Macaca mulatta: one gene and its partners. The protein of the gene in region 4 purifies or fractionates together with the protein of the main gene of each other region. This does not show direct contact. Links are inferred from orthologs where the notes say so. Each region holds a gene or a part of one and is shown on either strand. Other genes may lie near its edges.

Region 1 (3,635 bases), on a different chromosome or scaffold from region 4:
GGCATGGGGAAATCTGACTGAACTACTTGATTTTCTTTTTGAACTCCAGATTTAAGTTGGTGAAAGCTCACTGCGATTAGAAAGGGAAATTTTCCTAATCTTAAACATCTGAAATAACTTTTACTTCACCGAAATCACTGGTCACTGCCAAAGTAATCCCAGGAAACCCAATGTTCCCTAAGTCTAGTGTCTGAAGCAGGACATGTTCTGTGGGCTGAGTTTTCCACACATTGAGTATTTTGGCTCTGAGTACCCTAAGGTTTATGTTCATTAAGAATATTTTAATGCTATTTAAAGATTTGGAAAAAATCTTTTAAAATAAACCTTTATTCTGACACCAAGGGTCTAAGTTATATTCCTGTATTGGCTAGTAATCACAGAAATGAAAGTGCTAGTAAATAAGTTCACATACGAGAAATAGAATGAAAAGTCAGTCTATCTTATATTACGCATCAATTTACAGTATCTGCTTACGTCCAATACGACGTGATTAAACCATACAAAAAATGGAGTCTGTGGTTGTTTCTATTTTACATTTTAACTTAGTGCATAACACAAACTTCTGATCAGTCTTTGAATTTAGGTTCTACAAATATGCAGTAAAAATAGCTTCATGAGAATAAAGCCATCAACCAGAAGAATGTAACATTTTGCTGGAATTTCATTATATCTGCCATAAATATTCAAGGTGCTTGTTATAAAGTCAAATATTATATAAACCAAGTATTAGTGTGTAATGAGGGCAAAAGTATCTGAAGTTTCCAGCTACTTTAATAATTAAAAGCTTAACCACCCCCAAAATGAAAAATTCAGTTTCTTTAATGAAATCTTGTTTCTACAAGGGCTTTTAAGTGACAGACAGGATTTAACCTGAGGCTGAGTATATATGAGGAAGCTAGCTAAAATTTTACAATTTTAAGACAGCCAATTGGATTTACCACAAAAATTCAAACATACTTTTTGAAACAAAGACGACAAGGGCTCAAGTGGGGTGCAGTTATTTGATGCTGTGTGTATTTAACAAATAGATATGATTTTAAATGTGTATAAAGTTTACCTGTATACTAGAATCTCCCTTTATACATTTTGCTCCTTCTATTATAGCCATGTATGAGAATCTCAGTTGATCTGGGGTCTGAATAAGACCCATTCGGTATTTTCTCATGTTCAGTAACACTTGTTTAATGTTAATATCATCTCCTTTTTCCATCTGCAAGAAAGGCAAATATCAGACAAATCTTTTGTTACTGGAACCCAGGAAACAGAATCAATGCAGGATCATTGCTAAGATTTTTGCTCTGCATTTTCTCCTCTGAAATAACGATAATTTAACCCTGCAGCTATAACTGTTACATACACAGCAACTATCCCAGCCTACTCATCCCTCCCCACATCTCAACCACTCAAGTAGATGGAGGACTTTGATTCTTCAGCTGATTCACAATTGATTCCAAACCAATCATAGTAATCTCATTCCTTCTGGCCAGTCATTGGTTAAAGGAAGGATTTATAATCAGTTCTGACTAGTATAAGGACTATTTTTTTTTTTTTTTTAAAGTCATGGCAGGAGTCAACCTTTCTGCTCACTGCCCTTCCGCCTCCTTCATGTCTGCACTACAGACACGATGTCTGGATACACAGCACCCATCTAAAGATGGTGGGAAAGAGGCCAGTAAGGAAAAAATAAAGGTCCTAAAAAGAGAAAAAAAGATTTAGGCTGTATACAGGCTGGGACTGGGATTGACTGGTGCAGAAAGAATTAGCCCTTAGGGGCACAGACAGGAACCTCAGGCGAGTAACAGTAATACTGACATTTATGGAATGCTCAGAAAACACCAGGGACTCTTCTAGTGTCCCTTAATGTATTAATTCATTGAATTCTCACAGCAACCCTGTGAAATATGTCTATCATTATCCCTAGTTTTTAAATTTAAAAAAATGAGATAAAGTATTTGTCTGAGGAGGAAGTCAGTATTACATATGAATTTATATTTGAAAAAATGAGGGGAAGAGACCTATTATTTCTGTAATATAAAGCTACCAGGAAGAAAAACATCTTCTTAGGAATCTCTAAAATCATCTTGGATACATTTCTACCAGTCATGAATAAGACGCAGTTGCAAACATGGAAATGAGATTTTTAGGTTTTTCCAAAAGTAGAAGTTAAAAGTTGAAAAACCTCAGTTCTATGATACAACATCAGTGCTTCTTCCTTGCCAGTGGAAGCAATTAAAAAAAAAAATCAATGAGATTAAAATGAGATCGCAAGAAGCACTTACCAAAACAAGACAAGTGTCTACCAGAGAGAAGGTGCCAGAGCGCCCAATGCCTGCACTACAGTGGATCACCGCAGGCCCATGGTCAGGGTTCAAGGAGCCAGATTCTCTCACTTTAAACAAGAAATTGAGAAATGAAGCTGGTGATTCAGGGACTCCAAAATCTGGCCAGGTAGTATAATGAAAGTGAGATATTGTTCTGGTTTCACCACTCTAAAAAGTGAAAATCAAGGGAGGACAAGTTAGTTCTATTTTTTTTTCTTTTAAAAAAACTACTTCAGAAAGATCATGTGTTTTGTGTAATCCTTTACAGCCATATGGGCTGTTTATACTATGATTTTTCCATTTGTTTTCTGACAATCCCATATACAAATTAGGGAAGATTTTCTTCAGTGGAAATTTGGGATGTATTAATAATAGCTAACACATATAACACTTACTATTTTGGAAGCCTGTTCTAAACACTTTCCTTATTAACTAAATCCACACAACAATCCTATTAAAACCCATTTTCCTGGTGAAAAAACTGAAACAAAGGGTAAGTAGTTTGCTCAAGGTCACACAGCTGGAACAGAACCAGGATTCGAAGCAACCTGGGGCAGCCTTTGGGTTCTCAGTTACTAATCTGTTACCATACACGTTACCAATATTTTCTTTAATTCATGCATCATGAATGGACTACTTTTTTCTATTTTAAAAAATGTCTGCCAGGCGCAATTGGCTCATGCCCGTAATCCCAGCACTTTGGGAGGCCGAGGTGGGCAGATCAACTGAGGTCAGGAGTTCGAGACCAGCCTGGTCAACATGGTGAAACCCCATTTCTACTAAAAACACAAAAAATTAGCCAGGCGTGGTGGCGCGTGCCTGTAATCCCAGCTACTTGGGAGGCTGAGGCAGGAGAACTGCTTGAACCCAGGAGGTGGAAGTTGCAGTGAGCAGAGATCATGCCAGTGCACACCAGCTTGGGCACCAAGAGTGAAACTCCATTTTCAAAAAAAAAAAAAAAAAATTCTACCAGTGTAATTTTACATTCTTTAACATTTTCCTTTTTATGAATTTCAGAGTTTATTTTTAAAATATAATTTCCTGTTTAACATGATTATCTGTTGAATTCTGCTACACAGGCATAGGGGAGCAACTCAAGAATTAATCTAAAGAACCAATCTTTACATTTTTAATTGGAATTGTTCCTCTAATTGTTGCCTTTCCCCATGGCAATAATTTCCAGTCCTAAAGCTGTTTATATGCTTTTGCTGATGTGCTAAAATGGTTTACCAACATGCTAAATGTTTCCTGTCTCTTAGGCCTGCCTGGCAATCACTAACGCTTCCTGGATATTCCTGATGATCTGTATTTCTA
Region 2 (3,635 bases), on a different chromosome or scaffold from region 4:
TTGAACAAAGATACAAAACCATGATTAATAGAAAATTAAGCCCTACCAGGATCCAAATATTGTGTGGTTGGCAAAGCCAACTGATTAGGTAAGCCTAGTATACCAGTGCCACAATTCACCTAATTTAAGTTTGTGCCTCAAATTGGCAAATTACTACACGGTTCTGGATTTTAGGAATCATATGCAAATCAGTTGAAGGTATAAATGTTACATAACCAAACACCAAGGAACTGTAAACCTTCCCTCACAATTCTAAAGTTATCTTAATACTGCAATGTCTATGTATAAATAAAGTGTATCATCAATCACAAATAATTTTCACTTACCTTCCATGTTGCAGACTTTATGTTCATAGTTCTTCCTCGGCTAGTTAGGGTACACTTCATTCTGAGAAAAAAGCTTCGCTGTGTGTTTTGTTCTTTACCCTTTTTCACAGGGCCTAATGAAAGCATGAAATAAAGTTTTAAAGCAACTAAATATACAAATTTGTTACAATGAAAGTAGCAAAGTGCCCATCACCTAGATCAACTGAATACCTGTTCAATTAAAAGTCTCAGCATGAACACAGTAATTCATTCCCCTTTTACTCACTCCAGCACACCCAAGAGATCTGACACATACTACTCAGTAGCTCTGATTCCCTGAGTTGACTGAAAGATAATCCGTATTTGGGATAACAGTTAATCATTCAAGCAAGTAAGTTTAGTCAAACTACAGAGAAATATAAAAATGGTATGAGTTTGCTCTTTAACTGTGCTATTGGTACACAAGAATCCCTAAAGAAAGAACTTCAGCAAACTCTTCCTATTCTTTCCTGAATGTGTTAGCTCAATTTCTAATAAGCACTCTATGTATTTACAGAACCTTTAAAATAGCAACTTTCTTTTTAATAACAAATAACATTTTTACATATCTTATTTTTTCCCCTTAATTTATCTAGTAAAGCAGGCAGAAAATTATTTCTACTTTGTTACTATAAGAAAACAACAACAGATCAAATGACTTATCAAAAGTTACAGAAATAGGGCATGGTGGCTCATGCCCGTAATCCCAGCACTTTGGGAGGCTGAGGCAGGAGGATCACTTGAGGTCAGGAGTTCGAGACCAGCCTGGCCAACATGGTGAAACCCTGTCTCTACTAAAAATACAAAAATTAGCTGGGTGTGATGGTGGGTGCCTGTAATCCCAGCTACTCGGGAGACTGAGGCAGTTGAATCACTTGAACCCGGGAGGCGGAGGTTGCAATGAGCTGAGACTGTGCCACTGCACTCCAACCTGGGCGAAAGAGTGAGAATCCATCTCAAAAAAAAAAAAAAAAAAAAAAAACTACAGAAATAAAGTAAAGTCAGAATTAAGTAAAGTCTATTCACTCCTATTTCAAACCTTCTATAACTAAAAATGAGATTATATTTAGGTGACTAAGGAAATAGCATCTTGCTGGGCATGGTGGCTCATGCCTCATGCCTGTAATCCCAGCACTTTGGAGGCTGAGGCAGGAAGATCACTTGAGGCCAGAAGTTTGAGACCATGCTGGCCATCATGGTAAAACCCCATCTCTACTAAAAATATAAATATTAGCTAGGTGTGGTGGTGCACGCTTATAATCCCAGCTACTTGGGAGGTTGAGGCGTGAGAATCACTTGAACCCAGGAGGCAGAGGTTGCAGTGAACTGAGATTGTGCCACTGCACTCCAGCCTGGGTGGCAAAGTGAGACACTGTCTAAAAAAAAAAAAAAAAAAAAAAAAAAAAGGAAATAGCCTCTTGATTTCTTATCTTCATTGGTCAATGTACTTCAAAACACATATAAAAATATTTATTATTTAGAACCTGGACTAGAGATTGCAGGCAATACAAAGATGAGTAAGACACACCACCTTTCCTGAAGAAGTTAAAAATGTAGTAGATATAGTAAGGTCAACAAAAACACAATGTAGAGTTGGTACTTGAGACTTATAAAAATGCTTTAAGGGAGGATAGGGAGAGCTTAGAGGAATAACTTCTAGTCAAGGGGAATCAAGAAGTCCTGCTTAGAAAAAGAGACATTAGAATGTCAGTAAGTAGAGATGGGTTAGAAGGTTCCAGGGAGAAGGAAGAGAATGAAAAGCACAGAGGTAGGAAAAATAGGACATGTTTGAAAAACTGCATATAGTAGTTTGTCCACAATGTAAAGTACACATAGAAGAGTAGGAAGGCAAAGTCAGAAGGGAACGTTAGGGCTGTACTACGGAGGCCTGTGGATGTCCACATGGAGTCCTGCCTAAATATTCAACAAGGGGCTTTTAAAAAGCACAATCAGTAACTTAAGGAAAATTAACTTAGCAGCAATATATATGTTAGAATTACGTGACTGTAATGAGAGGGCTGAGCCAGTAGCAGTAGTATGAGTGAAAAGAATGGTGGTAAAAGACAAATGAAGAGGTAGATCTTAATAGACTTGAAAACGGATGGAAATAAGACAGGAGAGAAAATCAAATCTAGAAATTGTAATGCTAGTATATTGGAAGAACACTGTCAAGTAGAAAAGAAATGAGAGTAAGTTTAAATGTAGGCATGGTTAGCTAGAAATACTGGACTCTTAAGGAACAAGATGAATTCTAGCCTATACTCATTTAATAATGGAACTAGGCAAGATGGGCAGTCCTGGTACTGATGCATGCCACTTGTGTTTACTTAGATAAGAAGTGAATTTGCCCTCCCTGGAAGGATTCAAGAGTATATTTTTAAAAGATGCCATGAGAGCAAAGGGTGGGGGTGGGAGGCGAGGGGAAGGGAGGGAGTGTGGGAGGGAGAGAGAGAGAGAGAGAGAATGAGTGTGTCGTGTGTGTACGTAGGTGGTGATGGTTGTGGTAGTGGCAGTAAAGATCCACATGCAAAATCCTTTGGGTATGTTCAGTCCTTCATAATCTAAGCTTGAATTATACTGACCTTTGAAAAGAACCCAAGGCCTTTGAATGGGGACCTGCAGATTAATTTAAAAATCAAGGTAACTGAAAAGTACTAGTGTTTTCCTAATGAGGAAAAAAAACACAACAAACCATTAAAAAAAACCCCTAAATTTTAAACTCTCTAAAAATAAGTCTTATTTTGTAATAATTTATAAATTCTAAAGCATTTTTCTAGAATTTATACGGAAGAATAATAGGACTGTTTGTCCTATTATAAACACACCACTGGCTCTCAGTGTATCACTAAAATATGATGCTTTGCAACAGTCCCTAGTTTCTAAAAGAGAAAAATCTGCATTTTAGTTTCCCAATGGAACATCAATAATTCATAACCACATTAGGAATGATTTCAAAATGTTTGTGTGCTTTAAAAAAGAACATTTGGTTCGAAACATACATTTAAACTATATTAAGACTATCTGATTTAGAATAATGCATTAACATCATTACCAAATCAGAACAAGACTTCCTAATATCCATCCATTTATAGTCTAGCCCCAGGGAAGCACTGAGCAGTCAATATAAACCTCAACTCTGCACATTAGAACTCATATATTAAACTCACTGACAGCCCACTTAGGTCCTTGCTCATCGCATATTTACTCCTCCTTTATACAGAATTCTAAAAAGTACGCATTTGTTTTCCAAATTAACAGTAAAAACACAATATGAAATTTAAAAACAGGAGT
Region 3 (3,725 bases), on a different chromosome or scaffold from region 4:
GTTTTAAACAACCCACCCAACTACACTTACTAAAAGCATCTGCCCTGACTCGGGCTCAGCAGGACCAAGACCTGAACCCCTCCTCCTACAGTCACAGGCCTGCCTATCTAGTCCCCAAACACAGGGCAGGGGTCACAGACCTCCCAGCCCTTCCAAACCCAAGCCTGACACTCGGGACCAGTCAGAGGTCCCGGAATCTCTTCTCAAGCAGGGTTCCCAGCCACCGGTCCCGGCGCCCAGGAGCTCTGAGTTAGCCTGAAAGCCTGACCCATTACTCTTCTCCCCTTTCCCCCAGGGCTGGAACCCCATCTCCAAGCAGACCCTGTGGGTGGGGGGAGGGTGTAGCAGAGGAGGCAGAAAAACCAGCTGCAACACCCCCACCAACCACCAAAACCTCCAAAAATAACAGCAGCCCCCCACACACAACCCACTACACACCAGAAACGCAAAAACAAAATCCTACAAATCCAAAATAAAGCAAAAAAAAACAAAAGCCAATTACTGCCCCCAAAAGGCTTTGTAACCATTCTCAAAAAAAAGTTTATTAAAAGTGTTCTTACTTAATGCTTGAAACGGAAGATTCCCAAAATATACAGACGCCTCTTTTCTCATAGAAATAGATTATTTTTTATAATACAAAAAAAAAGACCAAAAAACAAAACAAAACAAAACATCAACAGCAACAAGCCCGTAGGAACATCTTTAAGCGATTACTCAGGGCCCGGCTGACAGTTACACGTGGGTTGCGTCAGTCCCGTGTACACACGCGTTCAGCCATGTTTAAACCGATTGCATCAACTTCGAAACCGGCCCGCCCGCCGGCGCCTGGAGAGGGGCAGAGGGAGAGGCAGAGAGTTTATCATTCATCTGTACACATAGACGTTTCTTCTTTAAATAACACCACGGGCGGGCGCCCCATCTGCATGTGCGGTTGGTTTGGACAAAAATATAGATATATATATATAATAAAATATTAAAATTACCGACGGGCTCCCCGCGCTGCCAAGTGCCCCAGTGCCAAAGTTTTGCCGGCGCCGCCGGGGGCGGAGGCGGGGGCGCGGGCGCGGGCGCTTCCCGGAGTCTCGGCCCCGGCCGGCAGGGGGACGCGCGCGGGGGCCGCGCTAGCAGTGGCCGGAGGAGGCGAGCAGGGGCTCGGGCAGCTGCTTGAACAAGTTCCGCAGGGTGCTGAGCTCGCGCGACAGCTGCTCCACCTTCTTCTGCAGCCGCTCGTTCTCGGCCGTGAGCTCCAGGACCTTGTGCTGCGTCTCCAGGTTGCGCATCTTGGCCTTGTCGCGGCTCTTGCGCACGGCGATGTTGTTGCGCTCGCGCCGGATCTTGTACTCGTCGCTGTGCTTGTCCACTGTCTTCTTGGCCTTGCTCTTGACCTGCGAGGGCGGCGGCGCGGCCCCCGCGTAGCAGGCGGCCGGGGGCGCCTTGGCGTCGGCGGGGCTCGGCGTGCCGGGCGGGCTGGACGACGAGGACGTGGAGAGGCTCCCGCTGCTGCCGCTCGGCACCGCCTGGTAGCCGAGGTAAGCGCGCAGCGCGTACGGGAAGCCCGCCGCCATGCCTGCGCCGCCGCCCGGCGCCCCGGCCTCCTCCTTCCGCTTGCAGTCCGCGGGCTCGAAGCCCGGCTCCGCCTTGAGCTCGGCGGGCGGCGGCGGCGGCGGGGGTGGCGGGTGCAGGGGCGCGAAGCAGCCGGGGTGCAGCGCGCCCTTGGCGGCCCCCAGGCGCCCCAGGCTCACGTAGCCGTACTCGGCCGGCTTCTTGCAGTTCTTGCCCCCGTAGTCGTCGGAGAAGAGGTCGGAGAGGAAGTCGTGGTGCTGCCCGGAGGAGGCGGGCGCGGGGGCGGGCGCGGGCGGAGCCGCCTCGAAGGTGTCCGTGGCCGTGGCGGGCGCCGGGGCCTGCGGCGCGCCCAGCGGCTCCAGGTACGGGCTGAAGTCGATGGCGCGCTCGTGGTCGCCGATGCTGCCCAGCTCGCCGGCTGGGGGGCGCGGCCCGGGTCTGGCCGCGGGGGGCGCCGCGGGGGCCGCCTTGCCGCCGTACGCAGCAGCCAAGCAGTCCGCCTCGTAGTAGAAGTTGGCCACTTCCATGGATTTAAAGGCAGGCGGCGGCGGCAGGGGGAGACATGCTGGGTCCCAGGCCACCAGGCGTTGCATGAACGCGGGTGCCCGGGGAGGGGGCCTGGGGCTGCCCGCTCCGGCCGGCCCGCAGGTGGCGCGGCCTCCCTGCTCTGAGCTGTCGCCGCTGCGTCGCTGCTGCTGCCGCCGCTGCCGGGGTGGCCGCTATTAGTGCGGGGGCTGGTGGCTGAACCCTCGGGTGGGTCCCCTTCCCAGTCCCGTGCGCGGCTCTGACTCGCTAAAGTTTCTCCTGAGCCCGGTTATTTATAAGGGCGGCCCGTAGCAACCGCTGCGTCACACCGGCCCCTCCCGCCGCGCCGCCGGGACGCGAAGGACACGGCCGCGGCCGCCCGAGACCCCCAGGAGGACGGCGGCAGGGCGCAGCGGAGGGACCGGGCACCCGGAGCGCGTTTTCGGGGGGGGTCCCCGGGCCGCAGGGGGCGGCCTCACGCCCCCTGCCCACCCCCGCCCGGCCGCCCCGGGATTGGGAGCGAGAGGGGGCGGTGCGACCCCGCCCCCAGACCGCCCCTCTGGGCTGGAGGCTGTCCTGGAAGGCGGGGGAATCGGAGGAGGGGGCGACCTGATCGCCTTCCCCCGGAGATGCGGCCCCGGCCCGCCCCCTGCTGGAGGAGGCGGAGGTTTCAGGAGGACCGAGCAGAGCCCCGACGGCGGACCAGGGGCCGCTCCCCGGGCGGAACCCTGGAGACCCCAGCCCGCAACTCTAGCTCCAGGAGAAGCGACCCATCTCCGTAGCCCTTCCCCCTAAACTCCCACCTCTTCCACAGGTCCCCGGCTCTAGAAAGGAGTAGACTCCACGCCTGTGACGATTCCCCTCTTAAGCCACCGCCAATATGAGGACCCCGGGGGTCGGGGGGACGGAGCAGGATCGCGCTGCGCTGGGGGCTGGACCCTGGTCCACGGTGTCCCGCCCCTAGCCCCGCCCACCGCACCTGCCGCCTGCTTGCGGCTTGTACACACCCGGGTCTTCTCTTGCCCCGCGCCGCGCCATCCGACCTGGGCCCTGCCACACTGTGCGACCTTGGATGAGTCACTTCTCCCAGCTGCAGTCCATGAAGGGTGTCGCTACTGTCAGCGGTGGTGGCATTGCTCCCACCAGACTCCCAAACCTAAGGCTTACGTTGTGGGCTGCACATCAGAGAGAAAGGGACCCCCATGGATTGTGCCAGTGGAGGCCCAGAGGGAGCATGGCATGGCATACCAAGGTCACATGGCCGCATGTCCCCCATTCATCCCAAACGAAATGCCCTCATCTGGGCCCTAAGACCTATTGCCAGCCCCAGAGGCCAAAAAGCTTCTGTTTCTGAAGCTGCTGGGGAGGGGCTTAAGCCAGGCCTCACGGGAGGGGGGTGGCATGCAGGAAACAGAGAAGGAAAGAGAAAGAGAAGTTTTTACCAAGTCCCTGCCCTGTGCTCAGGGTGGGCCTGGACCCCGAGGTTCTTTTTCACCCCACCAGGAAGATGCTTTTGCTGCTGCCGTTTCACAGATGGGAAAGTGACAACGGCCTGCCTGGACTTGAACACAGACCCAAGGCCCTCTAACTACCGGCCCGCCTCTGCTCCCTAGGCTCAGGTTAGAGGGCCCTTTGCT
Region 4 (3,635 bases):
TGTGCCAGCTGAGCATCCGTTAACTGCCCTCACTTTCCCTTCTCGTGTTTTTGGCATGTTTCGGGGGACGTATGTGTATTAATCCCCTCTTTATTTGTATTTTTTGACACAGTGTCTCACTCTATCAGCCAGGCTGGAGTGCAGTGGCACGATCACCGCTCACTACAGCCTTGAACTCCTCGGCTCAGGTGATCCTCCCACCTCAGCCTCCCAAGCAGCTATGACTACAGATGCGTGCCACCACACCGGGTAATTTTTTTGTATTTTTTGTTGTCCAAGCTGTATCCCCTCTTTAGACTCATGCACTCTCTGTGGAGCAGGAACTGCACTAGTCTAACTGATTCTGATTCTCCTCTCAAATCCCATCGGTCACCCCAACAAAAGCACTCACTACAGTTCTTTCCCATAAGGAGAAATAATGATCCCCCAGGTTATTCAGGCATTTGCCTATCTATCCTCCAAGGATCCCCAAATTTCTAACTTTTCCCAAAAATTAAATGCCAGGAACATGGAAAATCAACAACTACCTGGGTCAGCTTCAGGATGCTCCTGGCTCTCTGGCCGACAATACTTTCCGAATGCCTCCTCCTTGGGAATGTCAGGGTAGAGATAGACCAGCGGAGACACCAGAATATTGGTAGCATCCATGATCTTATAGCCCATGATGATTTCAGCAAATGACATGTTGTTCAACTGCTGCTTGGTGTATGGTTCCACGGACTGGATCTGGGTCTTACCTGTCACGGGACATGGGAAGGAAAGATCATGGAACCTACAGCTAGGTCATCTCAGAGAAAACTGCCCATTTTTTCTTTTCTCGAAGGGGAAAAAACTTAAGCCACCCTAGTGTTGAGACCCTGAACACACTGTTCAGTGAGTGGCCTGGCACGGTGGAAATGTTCAGGCTGGCTTCTAATTTAGAAGAGGCTACCAGTTGGGTCATAGAAAATAAACTTGAATGTAACTACTTGTGTAAGATATATTAACAGGACTAAGTAGAAAAAGGGATGAAGAATACAACTTAAATTGCAAATTTCTCAACAAATAGTCACTGGAGCAAGCAAAACAAAGACAAATCAATCCTTCAGCTAGAAGGATTTAGAAGTCACCCAAATGTGTTTTGCGAGTCTGAGTGAGGCAGGGAGTCGGTGCCATCTCCACCACAAGGGGGCAGTAGGTGCTTGGAACTAGCAGCGGTGATGAGGCCTCAGCAGCCGCCAGCAGGTGGGGTGGGTGGGAGCCTCCCTTACCACTGATGTCCTTCTCCACCCAAGTGAAAGTGACGCCGCCTTCTTTGCTGCTTTCACTGAATCTTAGCAGAAAGGTGCCTGGAGGCTTGGTGCTCAAGATGGCCCGCTCCCGCTCCTTACTGATAAAGCCCATGATGTACCTGGAGCCAAGGAGGAGGAACAGTGTTGTTACTGCTAACAGGGCATCCATCCCCTGCCACTGGCTTGCTGAGAGCAGGGGACTTGGTTACATCTGTGCACACTCTGTCCAACCTACCCTTCATTCCAAAGGGCCAGGATGTACTTTTTCACAAGGTCAATGATATTGTCCAGCCAGACCCAGAAGGAGAAGCCCTTGCCAGCCATGTTTTCCTGCAGAAAAGAGTAATGGGAAAGCCAAGTCTGCTGCCATCCCAGCCTTTCCCTTCCTAGGGGCACAGTGCACCACCCAACTCCTCAGGCCCATCTACCCTCAGGCAGGTCCTACTGGCTGCTGGACCAAGAGTTCAGGGCCTTCAAGCCAGAGCCCTCCACGACAGCCGTGCAGGTAGGCATTCCCATTCCCACGAGAATTTTACAAGATTGCTTACTTTGCAAAATTTAGCCCATGTGATCTGACACCCTGAATAATTCACGCCAGGTCCTGAAGGAAAAGAAAAAGAATCAACTAGTACATTTTCCGCTTGGGGTCAAGAGGTTATTTCTTAAAGCAGAACACACACACATTGGTCCCACAATGGGCCACAAAATCATTGGCTTTCACATCTTTGAACGTGGCCACCGTTGTGTGTGTGCACACACGAGGACAAACACTACCCCATCATTTGACCCACTTTTGTTGTTGGGTAGCCCAGCACGGATAGGGGGTGATGTAACAAGTCCCCCTGCTCTTCCCAGCCTCGGGTGGCGGGCTGGGGACCAGCAGCAGCACTAACAAGCTGACATCAGGTGTCAGACAGGTGTATTTGGTGGCAACAGCTTTATTAGGACAAAGCTACTTCTAGCCCAGGTAGCACATAAAATATTCCACTAATTATTATTTTTTTTTTTGAGACGGAATCTCGCTCTGTCGCCCACCCTGGAGTGCAGTGGTGCAATCTCGGCTCACTGCAAGCTCCACTTCTTGGGTTCTCGCCATTTTCCTGCCTCAGCCTCCTGAGTAGCTGGGACTACAGGCACTCGCCACCACGCCTGGCTAATTTTTTGTATTTTTAGTAGAGACGGGGTTTCACTGTGTTAGCCAGGATGGTCTTGATCTCCTGACCTCATGATCCACCCACCTTGGCCTCCCAAAGTGCTGGGATTACAGGCGTGAGCTACCACGCCTGGCCTCCACTAATTATTTTTTAAAAACCTAGCCTAGGCCGGGCATGGCGGCTCACACCTGTAATCCCAGCAATTTGGGAGGCCGAGGTGGGCGGATCACGAGGTGAAGAGATGGAGATCATCCTGGCCAACATGGTAAAACCCCATCTCTACTAAAAATACAGAAATTAGCTTGGCGTGGTGGTGGGCGCCTGTAGTCTCAGCTACTTGGGAGGCTGAGGCAGGAGAATTGCTTGAACCCAGGGGAGGCAGAGGTCGCAGTGGGCCGAGATCGCACCACTGCACTCCAGCCTGGGCAACAGAGCGAGACTTGTCTCTCAAAAAAAAAAAAACAAAAAAAACAAAAAAAACCTAGCCTGTAGTTTATTAAAGAAATAGACAGGGAATGTCAAGCCTTTAGTGCCACCTTCCAACACACATTTAAAAGATCTTCTAAGGTTAGTTGGAGTGGGTGAATGAGACAGCAACCAGGAGAAAAGAAATCCACCTCCCACCTCAAAAATGATCACCTCGACTGAAAACTGCAAACTGTCTCTGTACCCCAACTCCCCAACTCGATGGAGCCCCTGTTTCCTGGCACCAGCACAGCACCTTGCTCAGGAAAGAAACATGGCCTAACGCTCAGTAGACATGACCCAAATGAATAGCCCTGTGGGCCGGATCCCTTTTCTGGGCAGGCGGGAGGGAGAAGGGGTTAAACGCAGACCCAAGAGTTTCTCCGCCAGTGTAGTCAGCTGCTCGATGCTCAGTCCTCGCTTGGTGGTGGAGGAGAACTGCCAGCTCAGGACCTCGGCCACTTGATCCCAGGTTCCGATTGGGGGCTTGGTAAAAAAGTTTACGTTCTATTGGAAAGAACACATTTGCTTGTTTAGATGAGGGATGGTGCTCATTGTCTGTACTAGGTACCCATACATCGCAAGAGATCCCGGGGTACCAACTAAAAGGAGGGGGTACTAACCTTGGGGTTGTTGGTCAGCATGTTGTACCACAGGATGGACGCCCAGGCATTTGGCATCTGACAGATGTTGGAGATCACCACAACTGGCAAGGAGTGGGTCTGCGGAGGAAGTGGGGACTGAG
Region 5 (4,372 bases), on a different chromosome or scaffold from region 4:
GATGTGCGGTAGAACAGTTTTATCCCAAAACCATGTACCACCCACCCGCACCTGTCCATGGAAAAATTGTCTTCCTCGAGACTGGTCCCTGGTACCAAAATTGTTGAGGACTGCTGGTTTAATGGGTACATAGTTTCAGTTTGGGAAGATGAAAAAGTTACGGAGATAGTTGGTGGTGATAATTACAAAACAATCTGAATGTATTTAATACCACCAAACTGTATACTTAAAAATATTAAAATGGTAAATTTTATGTTTAGTATATTTTACACAATTAAAAAAAATGTTCAAGTGTCTTGCCTATTATCCAGTCTTTCTTTTGCTAAATGAATTTGAATCAATTTATACTACTGTATGTTTTTAAAAAGCAAAAAAGTAAAATAACCCATGTAAAATGTATTTTCCTCTAGTGAGTACTAAGCTCATGTAGAAACCAGTACCTCAAGATTTCCTGCTTCTCTTTTAAAAGTCACCAAGAAATATAAATATAAAAAAATGAATCTTCTCAAAGAAATCTGAGGCTAAATCACTCTACTGACAAATTATTTCACTAACATCTTGTGTTTAAGTGTCAAAACAAATACATTTCTGAATTTCCACACTTTTTATTAAGTCTTTCTCCAGAGGACCAATTCACTAGGGAGCCTCCCTGATGTCTAACTGGCATATTAGGTAATAGATAGTATAACAGATGATAAAATAGCACCAAAAATATCATTACCCATTCTCTTGTGTAAACCAGTTTTTAAGCTTTAATTCACTAATGCTTTCCTGCCTTTCAACTCTAAACATGAACAGTTGTAAAACATTCATTACATTTCACAGCCTCTGAAACGAAAATATTTTTACTACATTATAGAATTCGATGACTTGCCCCATGACTTCTAGTGAGTCAGCTTTAAGTATAGAAAAATTCAAGTGGTGCCACCACCCAAATTGGGGCTCACATCTTTGTGGCCCTAACTGATAAAGAAGAAATACATTTCATGCAATCGAAGACTTACTTAAGAAATAACTACAACTTCATCATTTATATACATATATAAGATTTTTTTTTTTTTAACACTGTTGCGGAAAGTTTGAGAAACAAGATTTTTAAAAATAATTCTGCCACATATAAATATACAAAAATAATGAGAGATCACCTTAACTTTTTCAAATTAAAAAAAAAATCCTATGGTCAGCTGATTTTAACTCTCTTTGTCCATCTGTACTATTTTATTTCATTTTGATATCAACCTGTTTTCCTAAACTAAAAAAATAAAAAAACTAAAAACAAAACAAAAAAAGACTTAATTCAATTTAACCAGGAACTGACTTGAGAAGTTAAGGCTTTAATTACTTTTGTTATACTTTTCAAAGTAAAAATATATCTGGTGGGAAATAGTCATCAACGTGTTTGGTGAAAGGCAATGTCAAAACTAACATTACCTAAAATCAAAATTTCACCTTGCCAGATTAAATAGCTACTTACTCATTTAAAAAGACCAATATATGAATGCATAGTGAAGAAGTATCCAGGTAACTTAATTTGCAGTTTTGTGTAGTTCTGCAGATCTGTATGTCTAAAATAACAGCTTTGCATGTGTTTTGAGATGTACACATTCTTGTAAAATTTCTAGAAGGATGTACGAAAGAGTTGAGTGACTACCTTTAAGGTACAGATCGGAAAAGGAAGCTGTTTTTCACTTTATGCTCCGCTCCTTCGGTAAGATGGTTGGAATTTGATACACCATCAACATAATGTTTTTTCAAAAGACTTCTAAATTTCACTTTATAGTTTAAATGATACACTCTGGAAAAACTCAGTTAAAATGTTTTTCATATTTACTTAATCTCCCAGAACTTACCTACTTTGTTGATCTCCTGGTTTGGGGACTGAATACACTCTCTCCAACTCCTCCAGAATCTTTTATTCTTATTCTAAAATTAAAATAATGTTATCCTTAATGCTTTCAATTTATTGTCTCATGTCATAAAAATGGTTGTTAGTTCACTGTCTTTGATGTTTATCTTCACTATGCTTCACTGTGTTTTCCAAAAAGTCACAAACACCAACACAGTTGCTGGAGCTGCAGTAGAGGTATCGCTTGTTCCTTGAAAATCCGAACTCTGACCAAACAGATGGTCACAAAGGACCTCTTTACAACGTCAAGTAGCTTATGAGCTCTCGACAATATGACCCACCAACGGCGATGGCAGAAAAAACATTCACGGTCATTTAGAGTGCTTAAAATTAACTGCAAGACAAAAGCATCCATGGGAGTAAAATACTTTGCCAGCTCAAAATTGTAACTGATTTAGTATAGTTTGCTCATCTCTCTGTTCTGCCATTTCAATGCTGTGGTACCTGAGTCAGTATTATCAAATATCTCTCAAAAGTGAGGCTTCACATCTGTAAAATGGGTAACTGCACCTATCCCACCTAAGTCCTACGAGCACCTCCCACAAAGGGGCTCAAAATGGCAGTACTCTTCCCCTCCCCCTCTGAAAGCTCCACTCTCCCAGGCCTCCCTCCTAAAGCGCCTCCGCCTCCGCAACCGCCCGACCCCAAGCCCCGCGGGGCTGACCGACTCGGCCTGGCCCAGCTCACCCTGGCCACCACAGAGCGCCTCCTCCCTCACAGGAACGCAGCTCCACAGTGGAGAGACGGGAGAATGGTTCCCCAAACTCCAGTGTGGGACAAGTGGGAATGAATGCAGGTCCCAAGCCACTCCCTCCATCGTCACGCCCCCAGGACTCCCCAGCAAACACACTGGAACACCAGCCTGTGCTACAGGAAAAGAAAAAGGACTCAGAGCCACCTTCTCGGATCCGTAAAGGTCCTTAGACTCACCGCGGGGAGGAGGCGGAGTAGGCGACTCCACAGCGCCGAAACAGAGAGCCACCGGCTCCTGGCTGATGCTGAGAGTCGCCCCGAGTCCCCGCCCTCCTCCGCCCCGAAGGGCTTCAGGTGCCCAGGCCGGGCGGGGCCGCCCGGAGCCTCGCGGCGCAGGCGCAGTCTGCAGGCAGCTTTCAACTGCGCGGCATCGGCCAATGGGAACTATTGCTGGGCTCGTTCGAAAGTAAACGGCGGACGGCGCGGCTCGAGGCAGGTGGCGGCGGTCAGATCGAGGCTGGCGCCTAGCTTTCCACGCCTGCGTGCTAGGCGCAGGCCGCCTCTCGGACGTTTGGCCTCGAAGGAGCGGCTCTCTAGCCTGTGGGGAGCTTCGGCCAGTGGGCTTCGTGAGCTGGGGTCCCGCCTGGGGCATCTGGATGGCACCGGTAGTCTGGGGGAGAGGCGGGGTCTGGCGCGGGAGGAGGCGAATCGCCGGCGGCCGACGGCTTCTGGGGAACTGTCTTTTACTTGGAGCCATCCAGGGCAGGGCCTGCTGCTATGCTGTGGAATGCAGTGTCTTCCATCGTTGCCACACAGACCCGCTGCTCCGGGAAGTCGCCACGCATCCTCAGGGCACACCCACACCTGTCGCCAGCGCCCTCCGCCGCTCAGCTGTTTGCTTTTGTTTACGCGTTCCGGAGACCTGACCCACCGGAGCACTGGGCTGAGCACAGGAGAAGGGGTTTTGGAACACTCTTTGTACCCAACTCCGAGAGCGAGTGGGAAACCCGGGACTGGGTTGGGTGCATCTCTCCCTAGCCTTCGTCGTCTTCTCCCGTTTTTCCACTTTACTAAAGTATTGCCTAGAGATGAGGGCTGTCCAACTCAGCACTTCCAACTTCAGGTTCCTACTTCACCTCTAACTCCCTAGAGTTAGAAAACAACTTACAGCTCAGAGGTCTCTTTCCCTTTTTTCTTGAGAAACTTTATTCAGCTTTATCTCAAGACATCTCCGCTTCCCTCTCCTGTCGACCTTAAATAGGTTCAGGAAATATGATTAAGGATAAGAGTTTATTCCAGCGTAAAGCTTGAGGGTAGCCACCCAGGAGACACCAGCTCCAAATGGGGTCAGCATTCCAAAGTGAAGAAGTTAAGGTTTCACCTAGGTGGCCAGAGACAAATTTTAGCAGGATTTCATTTTCCGTAAGAGACCAGTACATACTTACAGCTATTTGGTAGGTTACAGATTGCTACATTCCAAGAAAGAGTACTTCGTTACTCCGTGAGGACGGGTAGTGATCTCAGGGGGTTGTATCTCTGGTATGGTTTGCTCCTCCGATTTTAATTATTTACAGAAACAAAAGGCAGACGGTGCAGATGCCTGCTGCTTGGCTCAGGCTGTAGCCACATTCCTCTCAAGGCTCAGAATAAAGTTCCAACAGCTTTAAGTTTGAATTACTTAACTTCTGATAACTAAAGTCATTTTGTTTACTAATGTGCTAAATAAAGATATGGGCTCTAGACCGGGTGCAGTGGCTCACGCCCGTAATCCCA
Region 6 (4,198 bases), on a different chromosome or scaffold from region 4:
AACAAGGAGGGAGACGAGATATCAGCATGTAGCCCCCAGAGGGCAGGGGTGAACGCACAGAGAGGCTGAAAGTTAGATGTCCGGAGGATAGAGCAGAGACACACAAAAGAACGAGAGACAAGTAGGCACAAGAGGATGGATAGGGAAAAGCGCAGGGCAGAAGAGAAGAAAGTCAGAAAGCAGAGTCCAGGGGTAACCCCCCAGGGATGAGGGAGGAAGACTGGAAGAGATGTACCTGGATGTAAGAATCTGCTGCACTTGCTGGGGTGTGAGGGCAAAGGTAAAGTGCGCTTCCTCAAACCGCTGGCTAGAAGTGGATGCTGAGGATACAAAGGGGCAGTTATTCCAAGCCCATGCACAGGCAGCCACAGAAATCACCCCCATCCCAGGTCACTGATCCCATAGGACTAAAGCCTAAGAAATGTCTGGGGAACAGGTAGGGAGTCCAGAAGACTAAGGGACCACAAAGAGCCATACCAAGGGTGGTGGGCCGGATGAGCTCCCCGTAGACTTCATAGAAGGGCAATGGTTTCATGGTGACATCAGGGTGCACAGGCTGGGCAAGAGAGGGGTGCATGTCCACCTCACGCTTGGGGCCCAGCAGGGTGCCAGGGGCCAAGAGGGTTGGGGGAATGGGAGCTAGAGGACCAGGGGAGCCTACAGGAGAGGTGCCAGGAGGCAAAGAGAGAAGGGAGAGGTCAGAGGGCCCCAGGGTCTTCCGGGGAAAGCGTCGTCGGTAAAGCTCTTTGATCTTCATCTGGACGCTAGGGGCACAGCTGGACTTCAGGAGGTGCAGGGCCTTGGCCAGGAGCTCGTGCTTCCGCCCACTCTTGTTCCGGCCAGCAAAGCCAAGAAGCACCTGGAGCTCAGACACCCGGAAACTCATCACCATGTGCTGTGGAGAAGAACAGAGAAGCTTGAGAATCCTCCGTTGCACAGGCCTGCCCTGCCAAGACATGGGCTGAGCTACCAGGTGGGCAGTGCCTTTTTCCCTCCAGCACTGATGGGAAAGATGATGCTTCGCAGCTAGTGGATTACTGCCAGGTAGTCAACCTATCCAAAGGGACATCTCAGTCCCACTTTAGCAACCATCAGGTCAGCATCATCACCACCCCCTGCCCACCCCAAGCTTGAGCAACACTGTCTGTCTCCCCAGGCCTGGAAGTGGCCAGAGTGGGGCAGGGAATGGCAGACAGCAAGCCACCCTCAGACACACCTCCAAGTCTACACAGCCTCCCGCCTCCAACCCTGCCTCTAGTCTGGACTCTCCTTTAAGCTGCTTATCTCCTCTCTTGCCCTTTCTCAGACACTCAAACTCATCCCAGCCTCCTGGGAAGAGGATAGGAGACAGGGAGAAGGAGGGAGAGACAAGAGGATTCAAGCCAGACAGCCCCACGGGGAAGAAAGGGGCCAGGTGGCTGGAGGATTGTGCCCTTCAGCCCACCCCTCCAAACCACCTTAATTCCTCAGCTATTTCCCCCAAGCCTCTGAAGCTTCTGTGGGCCGGGGTTTTCAGGTCAGGGTTCAATGCTCATTACTCCCCCAGATCCTTTCTTGGAATCATTAATATAACCGCCCCCTCCCCACAACTTAGTCCTATTTTTCTGGAAGGGAAACAGGACCAAAACTTAGGTTGAGGAGATTAACAGTGATTCACTGAGTCCAAGTATCCTGCCTGTTTACTCTATCTGCCAGGAACCATTATCTGGCGTCTCTCCTACAGAGAGAAAATAATACTCCTGTACAACCTACAGCCCCCCTACACGGGTGGAAGAGGAGCGGGCAGAGCTCTAAACAGAGGCCCTGGGTGGATGAAGGAAAAGCCTCTGAGTCAGGGCACAGAATCGCAAATTTCCTGAAGGTAGCTGGGCCCAGTGGCTAGACCTCCAGACTGCCCAGGACCATAGCTCCATTTCAAAGGGCAGAAGAAAACCAGGAGGCATGGGGATGAACTCGGTGGTTTAAGGTTCTATGAGATGTCCTCAGACGTGGTCACCCTCCAAACTCTGTGTGGCAGAAGGAGGGGAGCGCTCTCCTTAGAGGGAGGACTCCCTTCTGTGAATCTCTAGGAGATCCTGTCATGGGCAGGGCTTGCTAGCCCTACACAATTCTTCTCACAGGAGGCTTTGTCTTGGACCCCTTTTGTGGAATGTGATGAGAAACTTGCTCCTCTTTCTCCCAATCTTTATCTTCTCTGTCCTGTCTTATTTTTTCCATTAGCTTTCCCTATAACTTCCCTCCTTTCTATCTCATAGTTTCACATGCCTCTGCCTCTGCCCAAACATCGCGATTCACTAAGGCAGGACCTTCCTCTGAGCCTCCAGGATGCTTCTGCCCCACCCCTCGAGGTATCAGCCCGCACAGCCCCGCCCCCTGCATCTCAGCCGCCTACTGGTATTTCCCAAAGCTCGGATCCCGAGAGTAGCCCCAAAGACCCTACCCTTTCAGCTGCCTTTCCCCCGGAGCCTCCCCTACATCTGCCCCGCGGTCCCATCCCTGCATCTGCCCCCTACTGTCGCATCTCTTGGCCTCGATCGACTCGCCCCCAGTGCCTCTAGAGCAGCTTTTCCCCCTGGCCCTACCCCAACAACTGCCCCTACTACTAAATCCGACTTCTACCCTTCGTCCCCGCCCCCTGCGCCTCAGCCCCCAACAGCTGCAATTCCCCTCGGCCCCACCCCTACATCTGCCCCGCAGCCCCGCCCCCGGAGCCCCGCCGCAGCCCCTTCCTCGCTCTCAGCCACTTCTTTCCCATCCTCAGCAGCCCGTGCCTGCCACGTCGTCGGCGCCCACCCGAGCCCCGGCACCCAGTCTCGGTCGCTTCCCGGACACGGCGTACCGCCGGAATCAGTCCAGATGGGGATGGGGGAGGGGGCCGGTACCTTTAATTCGCCCAGCTCCGCCATCTTGAGACATCGCAGGCGCCCTAGCCGGAGCCGGAGCTCAGGCCCAGGGACCGGCGCACAACTCTCCACCCCGGCGCCGGCCGCAAATGCCGCCTGCTCCGCCCCGTCCGGCCCCCTATACCTCCCCTTCCCGGCCCCGCCCGCCTGGCTTCGGACTAGCCCCAGCCTGAGCCCCTCCCTCCACAGCGGACCCAGCAGCTACACGTCTGCGGCGGGTTGGCAGGACGCGTAGCCCCGGAGGGAGTTTATGGCCCCCAAGATCGCGGGGTCCCCTAGGGCAACGAAGAGGAGGCGGGTCCGAAGTGCCTGGTGGAGGGGGGCTTTGCCACGGCAGAGTTGGGAGGGGACAAGCTTTTAGAGAGCCAAAGATACTTGAAAGATGGAGGGAAAGTATCGGGAACTGCTAGAGCTCAGAGAAATGGGGGAGGGGGTAGCGAAGTTGGAGCGCAAACCCTCATCTCCATCTCTACATAAGTTTAAGCAACTAAAATCGAGAGGTCTTCCAACTCGGGAAATGGGCGAGCGCTGATCCGTCTTAGGGAAGCCGTGGAGTCGGCATTCAGTTCAAGACAGCTATACTCAATTCACCCTCTCCTCCTCCCCCCAACACCAACTACAATGCAGCTCGTGGTCCGATCGTAGGACTCAAACTCAGCAGCAAAAAAAGTTTGGTGCGGGGAGCGGGACTTACCAGCACAGTTGTGGGAAATGGAGAGAGGGTTCGGGAGGCTCAGAGGGCGGGCTGGAGAGGTGGGGGCATGGGGCTCGGCGCCGCTCCTGCTGTCCGCACGGCAGAAGTTCGGTCCAGCGGCCGGACGCGGCGGCCGCGGCTCCGCCCGGGCCGGAGCTCCGCCCGGCCTAGCGCTCGGGCTGGGGCCGCCCCCTCCACGGGAAGCCCGCCAGGACCGCCGAGAGGGAAGGGGGGCGGAGCTCGGGCGAGAGAGGGAGGGACTCAGAGCCTGGCGCTGGAGCGATTAACTCCTGGTGTGAGTGGATCTGGAGAGATGAGATCCTTGGATCCCATCATTCTCACTACCTCTGTGACCCCTCACGCTTATGTGTGGGATTGGGGTGGTGGCACGCTGCTGCTAAGGCCGTGTGAACCAGGTGTCTGACCGTATAAAGCAGTCTTCCTTGAAATGACAACTGTCTCTCCCTAGGGCAAAGCCTGGGCTACTGAATCCAAAGTGTACCTAACAGTAACTACTCCAGATACCCCTGCACAGTACCTCCACCAGAGCCCCCATACCTTTGGTGTAGCTGAAGATGAATTGAGGGGTTTTCTTGCCAAC
Region 7 (4,266 bases), on a different chromosome or scaffold from region 4:
CAGACCAGAATACTACAGTATTCCCGTATTTTGACTGGCTTCTCCGTTTCTGGCCTTGCCCTCTTCCTCGAGCTTCACAGTGTCCAAAATAATACTTCCCCACCACCCAGCTTTTTCGTTTGTTTGTTTTTTGTTTTAGAGACAGGGTCGTGCCATGTTGCCCCGGCTGATCTTGAACTCCTAGGCTCAAGCAATCCTCCTGCCTCGGCCTCCCAAAGTGCTGGGATGAAGGTGTGAGCCACCATACCTGGCCTGAGTGCAGTGGCCTGATCTCGGCTCACAGCAGCCTCGACCCTCCAGGCTCAAGCAATTCTCTCACCTCAGCCTCCCGAGTAGCTGGGACTACAGGCGCGTGACACCACGCCCGGCTAATTTTTGTATTTTTTGTAGAGATGGGATTTCACTATTTTGCCGGGGCTGGTTCCCAACTCCTGGACTCAAGCGATTCGCCCGCCTCAGCCTCCCAAAGGGAAGTGCTGGGATTTCAGGCGTGTGCCACTGCTCCCACCCCAAAGTAGTATTTGTTATTATTATTATCGAGACGGAGTTTGGCTCTATTGCAGGCTGGAGCGCAGTGGTGCGACCTCGGCTCACTGCAACCTCTGCCTCCCAGGTTCAAGCGATTCTCCTGCCTCAGCCTCCCAAGTAGCTGAGATTACAGGCGAACGCCACCACGTCCAGCTCATTTTTGAATTTTTAGTGGAGACCATGTTGGCCAGGATGGTCTCGATCTCTTGACCTCGTGATCCGCCCGCCTCGGCCTCCCAAAGTGCTGGGATTACGGGCGTGAGCCACCGCGCCCGGTCTATTACTAGTTTTTTTAGGCAGTGTCTTGCTGTCGCCCAGGCTGGAGGGCAGTGGCGTGATCACGACTCACTGCAGCACCGACTTCCCGGGCTTAAGTTATCCTCCCGCCGCAGCCTCCACGCCTGGCTAGGGTTTTGCATTTTTTGTAGAGATGAGGTCTTTTTTGCCCAGGCTGGCCTCTAGCTCCTAGGCTTAAGCGACACTCTTGCTGCAGCCTCCTAAATTGTTGGGGTTACGGGCGTGAGCCACCGCGCCCAGCCTAATGGAGGAAACTGAGGCTCGGAGACAGTAGGTAATTTCCCCAAGGTTCCACAGCTAATGAGTCGAGTGGCGATTTGTGGAACGAAATGAATGAAATCGATGTGGCAGTGGGCCCGGACGCGCCCGGTCGGTGGAGTGGCGTAGCCGCCGAGCGCGCAGCTCACACCCGGCGGCCGCGATTTCCGGGAGGAAGCAAGGATGCTTTGGACGCTGCGCTTAGCGCCTCCGCGGAACCCCCGCGCTGCCATTCCCGGCCGTGGCTCCGTCCTCGGCTAACGGGAAGCAGGAAGTGGCGGCGGGCGTCGCTAGCGGTGACATCACGGGGGCGACGGCGGCGAAGGGCGGGGGCGGAGGAGGAGCGAGCCGGGCTGGGGGGCGGCTGCACAGTCTCCGGGATCCCCAGGCCTGGAGGGGGGTCTGTGCGCGGCCGGCTGGCTCTGCCCCGCGTCCGGTCCCGAGCGGGCCTCCCTCGGGCCAGCCCGATGTGACCGAGCCTAGTGGAGCTTGAGCAAGGAGCGGGTCCGTCGCGGAGCCGGAGGGCGGGAGGAACATGACATCGCGGAGGTGAGGAGCCCCGAGGGGCCCGGCCCGGGCCTCGGCCCGGCCCCCGCCGCATTCGGTCAGCCCCGTCCGGAAGGGGGCGCCCCGGCCGGGCTTCGGGCTCCCGCCCCGGATCGGGATTGGGGGCCAGTTCCCTCCTCGTCCCCTGTCCCTCCTCGGCCCGGGGGCCGGCCCCACCGCGCCCCCACCCCTTGGGTCCCCATTCATTTCCTGCCTCCCTGAGTTCCGGCTGCGGCAGCCCGGGGGATGCCCGTCAGGCCTGGGGCAGGTAGAGCCGCCTAGGGAACCACGGGCGCCAGCGGCCCGGCTCAGCGCCGCATTCCTGACCCATTGCCTCATGAGAATTGCCTCATGGTGATTCCGAAATAACCCTGCTCACTTGGGGAGGCTCCTTGGGACACGAGATGGGAGTTGCGCGGGGCCGGGCCCCCAGTGGTCTAGTCGTTCTGGGTCACTGTGCCACTTGCGTGCATTTGGGGTCTTAACGAAGGACCCCTGACCCTTTTATGTGCCCCTTTGTGTCTTCTTTTTCTCCCACCCCTCACGTGCCAGAAATGGAAAAACTGACTGTATCTGCAGCCACTAGAAGTATTTCCTTCCTTTGCGATATTCGCTTTGGGAGATGGAAAGGAAGGGAGCCGCATCTCGTTATTTAATCCTTCACTGCAACCTTAACAGTCAGGTCACTTTACTGGTACCCGTTTTATGGATGAGGAAACCGAGGCCCAGAAGCAACATGCTAGTAAATGACAAGATTTGAAACTAAGGAGAATTAGTGAGTTAATGAGATCCTTTGAAAGATCAGGGTAATATTACTACTAATAGCTAACATTTGCTTAATTCTGACGACAGCCCTCTCAGATGGCTACTATTATCCCCATTGTAAAGATGAGTAAACCGAGTTTCGGAGAGGTTAAGTAGATTGCTTAACCTCACAGCTAGTAGGTGGTGGAGACAGAATCCCTACTTTTAATCACTATGTTGCTTCTATTATTTTGTAACTATTGCTAACCACTTGTAAGCCTTAATTTTGTTGTCAAACAGTAGTGTGACTTGTTTTCAGATAATGATCCTGCTATTTTATATAATCACTCTATATACCACTCACACTTAAGACCCATTGTCTATTCTTTTCCATGGTTGTTCAATTATGGTCACTGTCTCAGACATTTAAAAAACGATTCAAGCTATTGAGGCTATTTGAATGAGATTTTTTTTTCTTTCTTTTTTTTTCTCTTTTTTTGAGACGGAGTCTCACTCTGTTAACAGCCCAGGCTGGAGTGCAGTGGCACGATCTCGGCTCACCACAACCTCCGCCTCCTAGGTTCAAGCGATTCTCCTGCCTCAACCTCCCAAGTAGCTGGGACTATCGGCATGCCACTATGCCTGGCTAATTTTTTTTTTTTTTTTTTTTGAGACGGAGTCATGCTCTGTCGCCCAGGCTGGAGTGCAGTGGCCGGATCTCAGCTCACTGCAAGCTCCGCCTCCCGGGTTCACGCCATTCTCCTGCCTCAGCCTCCCAAGTAGCTGGGACTACAGGCGCCCGCCACTTCGCCCTGCTAGTTTTTTGTATTTTTTAGTAGAGACGGGGTTTCACTGTGTTAGCCAGGATGGTCTCCATCTCCTGACCTCGTGATTCGCCCGTCTCGGCCTCCCAAAGTGCTGGGATTACAGGCTTGAGCCACTGCGCCCGGCCTAATTTTTTTTTTTGAAACAGAGTCTCGCTCTCTTGCCCAGGCTGGAGTGCCGTGGCGCAATCTCGGCTCACTACAAGCTCCGCCTTCTGGGTTCAAGCCATCCTCCTGCCTCAGCCTCTCAAGTAGCTGGGACTACAGGTGCCCGCCACGACGTCTGGCGAATGTTTTGTATTTTTAGTAGAGACGGGGTTTCACCATGTTAGCCGGGATGGTCTCGATCTCCTGACCCTGTGATCCGCCCGCCTCGGCCTCCCAAAGTGCTGGAATTACAAGCATGAGCCACCGTGCCCGGCCGAGTTTTGTATTTTTAGTAGAGACGGGGTTTCACTATGTTGGCCAGGTTGGTCTTAAACTCCTGACCTCGAGATCCGCCTGCCTCGGCCTCCCAAAGTGCTGGAATTACAGGCGTGAGCCACCGCACCCGGCCTGAATGAGATTTTTCAAAATATTAGGAATGTCTCCTCCAAACAGACCTGGCATGTTATTCTTACATGGATCTGGAATTTAAAAAGGGGAGAAAAAAGAAAACAGAACTCGTAGGAAGTGAGTGACTTGGACAGGTCTGTTGGCAAGTGCTTGCGGATCTGGGTAATATATAACTGCATTTCAACGGAACAGTGTATAGCCTCAAATGTTCTAATTCTTTAGGGAGCTTTTAAATAAACAGTTGTCTATTCTTTAATCTGTCTAATAGTCATTGAGCCTTTTGTTCCTGGTGTCTGCTCTTCCAGACAAGTAAGGATTTGCTGCTTTAGGGGGCTGAGGGTTGGGAAAAGATCTGTGTAGTAATAGACCCTACATTGTACAGTTTGTTAGTTTAGAAGCATGGAAGTGTGGGCATAGTCAAAGCAGCAAGTGGTAAAGATGACAGTTTGAAATGGAGTTGTTCCTTTTCCCCTCCAGCCCTGGTATTGTGTACCACCCAAAAAGCCAGATTATG

Evidence for each region.
Region 1: the proteins of STAT3 (region 4) and PTPN2 purify together in Homo sapiens (affinity purification with western blotting; 7 studies listed by BioGRID). This does not show direct contact. The link is inferred for Macaca mulatta from reciprocal best matches to the Homo sapiens genes STAT3 and PTPN2.
Region 2: the proteins of STAT3 (region 4) and HIF1A purify together in Homo sapiens (affinity purification with western blotting; 4 studies listed by BioGRID). This does not show direct contact. The link is inferred for Macaca mulatta from reciprocal best matches to the Homo sapiens genes STAT3 and HIF1A.
Region 3: the proteins of STAT3 (region 4) and CEBPB purify together in Homo sapiens (affinity purification with western blotting; 3 studies listed by BioGRID, with this or other methods). This does not show direct contact. The link is inferred for Macaca mulatta from reciprocal best matches to the Homo sapiens genes STAT3 and CEBPB.
Region 5: the proteins of STAT3 (region 4) and TRIM59 purify together in Homo sapiens (affinity purification with western blotting; 4 studies listed by BioGRID). This does not show direct contact. The link is inferred for Macaca mulatta from reciprocal best matches to the Homo sapiens genes STAT3 and TRIM59.
Region 6: the proteins of STAT3 (region 4) and PIAS3 purify together in Homo sapiens (affinity purification with western blotting; 5 studies listed by BioGRID). This does not show direct contact. The link is inferred for Macaca mulatta from reciprocal best matches to the Homo sapiens genes STAT3 and PIAS3.
Region 7: the proteins of STAT3 (region 4) and PTPN11 purify together in Homo sapiens (affinity purification with western blotting; 3 studies listed by BioGRID). This does not show direct contact. The link is inferred for Macaca mulatta from reciprocal best matches to the Homo sapiens genes STAT3 and PTPN11.

The regions. Positions count from the first base shown.
Region 1 is NC_133423.1:83,486,584-83,490,218, forward strand, and holds part of PTPN2 (tyrosine-protein phosphatase non-receptor type 2), read right to left. Parts: intron 2,490-3,635; coding exon 2,280-2,489; intron 1,211-2,279; coding exon 1,058-1,210; intron 1-1,057. UniProt on the Homo sapiens protein: Non-receptor type tyrosine-specific phosphatase that dephosphorylates receptor protein tyrosine kinases including INSR, EGFR, CSF1R, PDGFR.
Region 2 is NC_133412.1:134,833,437-134,837,071, reverse strand, and holds part of HIF1A (hypoxia-inducible factor 1-alpha), read right to left. Parts: intron 440-3,635; coding exon 327-439; intron 1-326.
Region 3 is NC_133415.1:103,041,729-103,045,453, reverse strand, and holds CEBPB (CCAAT/enhancer-binding protein beta), read right to left. Parts: upstream 2,358-3,725; 5' UTR 2,157-2,357; coding exon 1,122-2,156; 3' UTR 517-1,121; downstream 1-516. UniProt on the Homo sapiens protein: Important transcription factor regulating the expression of genes involved in immune and inflammatory responses. Also plays a significant role in adipogenesis, as well as in the gluconeogenic pathway, liver regeneration, and hematopoiesis.
Region 4 is NC_133421.1:66,665,799-66,669,433, forward strand, and holds part of STAT3 (signal transducer and activator of transcription 3), read right to left. Parts: intron 3,613-3,635; coding exon 3,514-3,612; intron 3,398-3,513; coding exon 3,262-3,397; intron 1,873-3,261; coding exon 1,820-1,872; intron 1,602-1,819; coding exon 1,507-1,601; intron 1,391-1,506; coding exon 1,251-1,390; exon of another isoform or gene 1,165-1,250; intron 773-1,164; exon of another isoform or gene 738-772; coding exon 525-737; intron 1-524. UniProt on the Homo sapiens protein: Signal transducer and transcription activator that mediates cellular responses to interleukins, KITLG/SCF, LEP and other growth factors. Once activated, recruits coactivators, such as NCOA1 or MED1, to the promoter region of the target gene.
Region 5 is NC_133407.1:63,616,499-63,620,870, forward strand, and holds the start of TRIM59 (tripartite motif-containing protein 59), read right to left. Parts: upstream 2,924-4,372; 5' UTR 2,837-2,923; intron 2,660-2,836; exon of another isoform or gene 2,594-2,659; intron 1,924-2,593; 5' UTR 1,851-1,923; intron 1-1,850. UniProt on the Homo sapiens protein: E3 ubiquitin ligase involved in different processes such as development and immune response. Serves as a negative regulator for innate immune signaling pathways by suppressing RLR-induced activation of IRF3/7 and NF-kappa-B via interaction with adapter ECSIT.
Region 6 is NC_133406.1:119,438,397-119,442,594, reverse strand, and holds the start of PIAS3 (E3 SUMO-protein ligase PIAS3), read right to left. Parts: upstream 2,924-4,198; 5' UTR 2,907-2,923; coding exon 2,883-2,906; intron 896-2,882; coding exon 478-895; intron 321-477; coding exon 236-320; intron 1-235. UniProt on the Homo sapiens protein: Functions as an E3-type small ubiquitin-like modifier (SUMO) ligase, stabilizing the interaction between UBE2I and the substrate, and as a SUMO-tethering factor.
Region 7 is NC_133416.1:119,657,137-119,661,402, forward strand, and holds the start of PTPN11 (tyrosine-protein phosphatase non-receptor type 11), read left to right. Parts: upstream 1-1,432; 5' UTR 1,433-1,618; coding exon 1,619-1,632; exon of another isoform or gene 1,633-2,904; intron 2,905-4,266. UniProt on the Homo sapiens protein: Acts downstream of various receptor and cytoplasmic protein tyrosine kinases to participate in the signal transduction from the cell surface to the nucleus. Positively regulates MAPK signal transduction pathway. Dephosphorylates GAB1, ARHGAP35 and EGFR.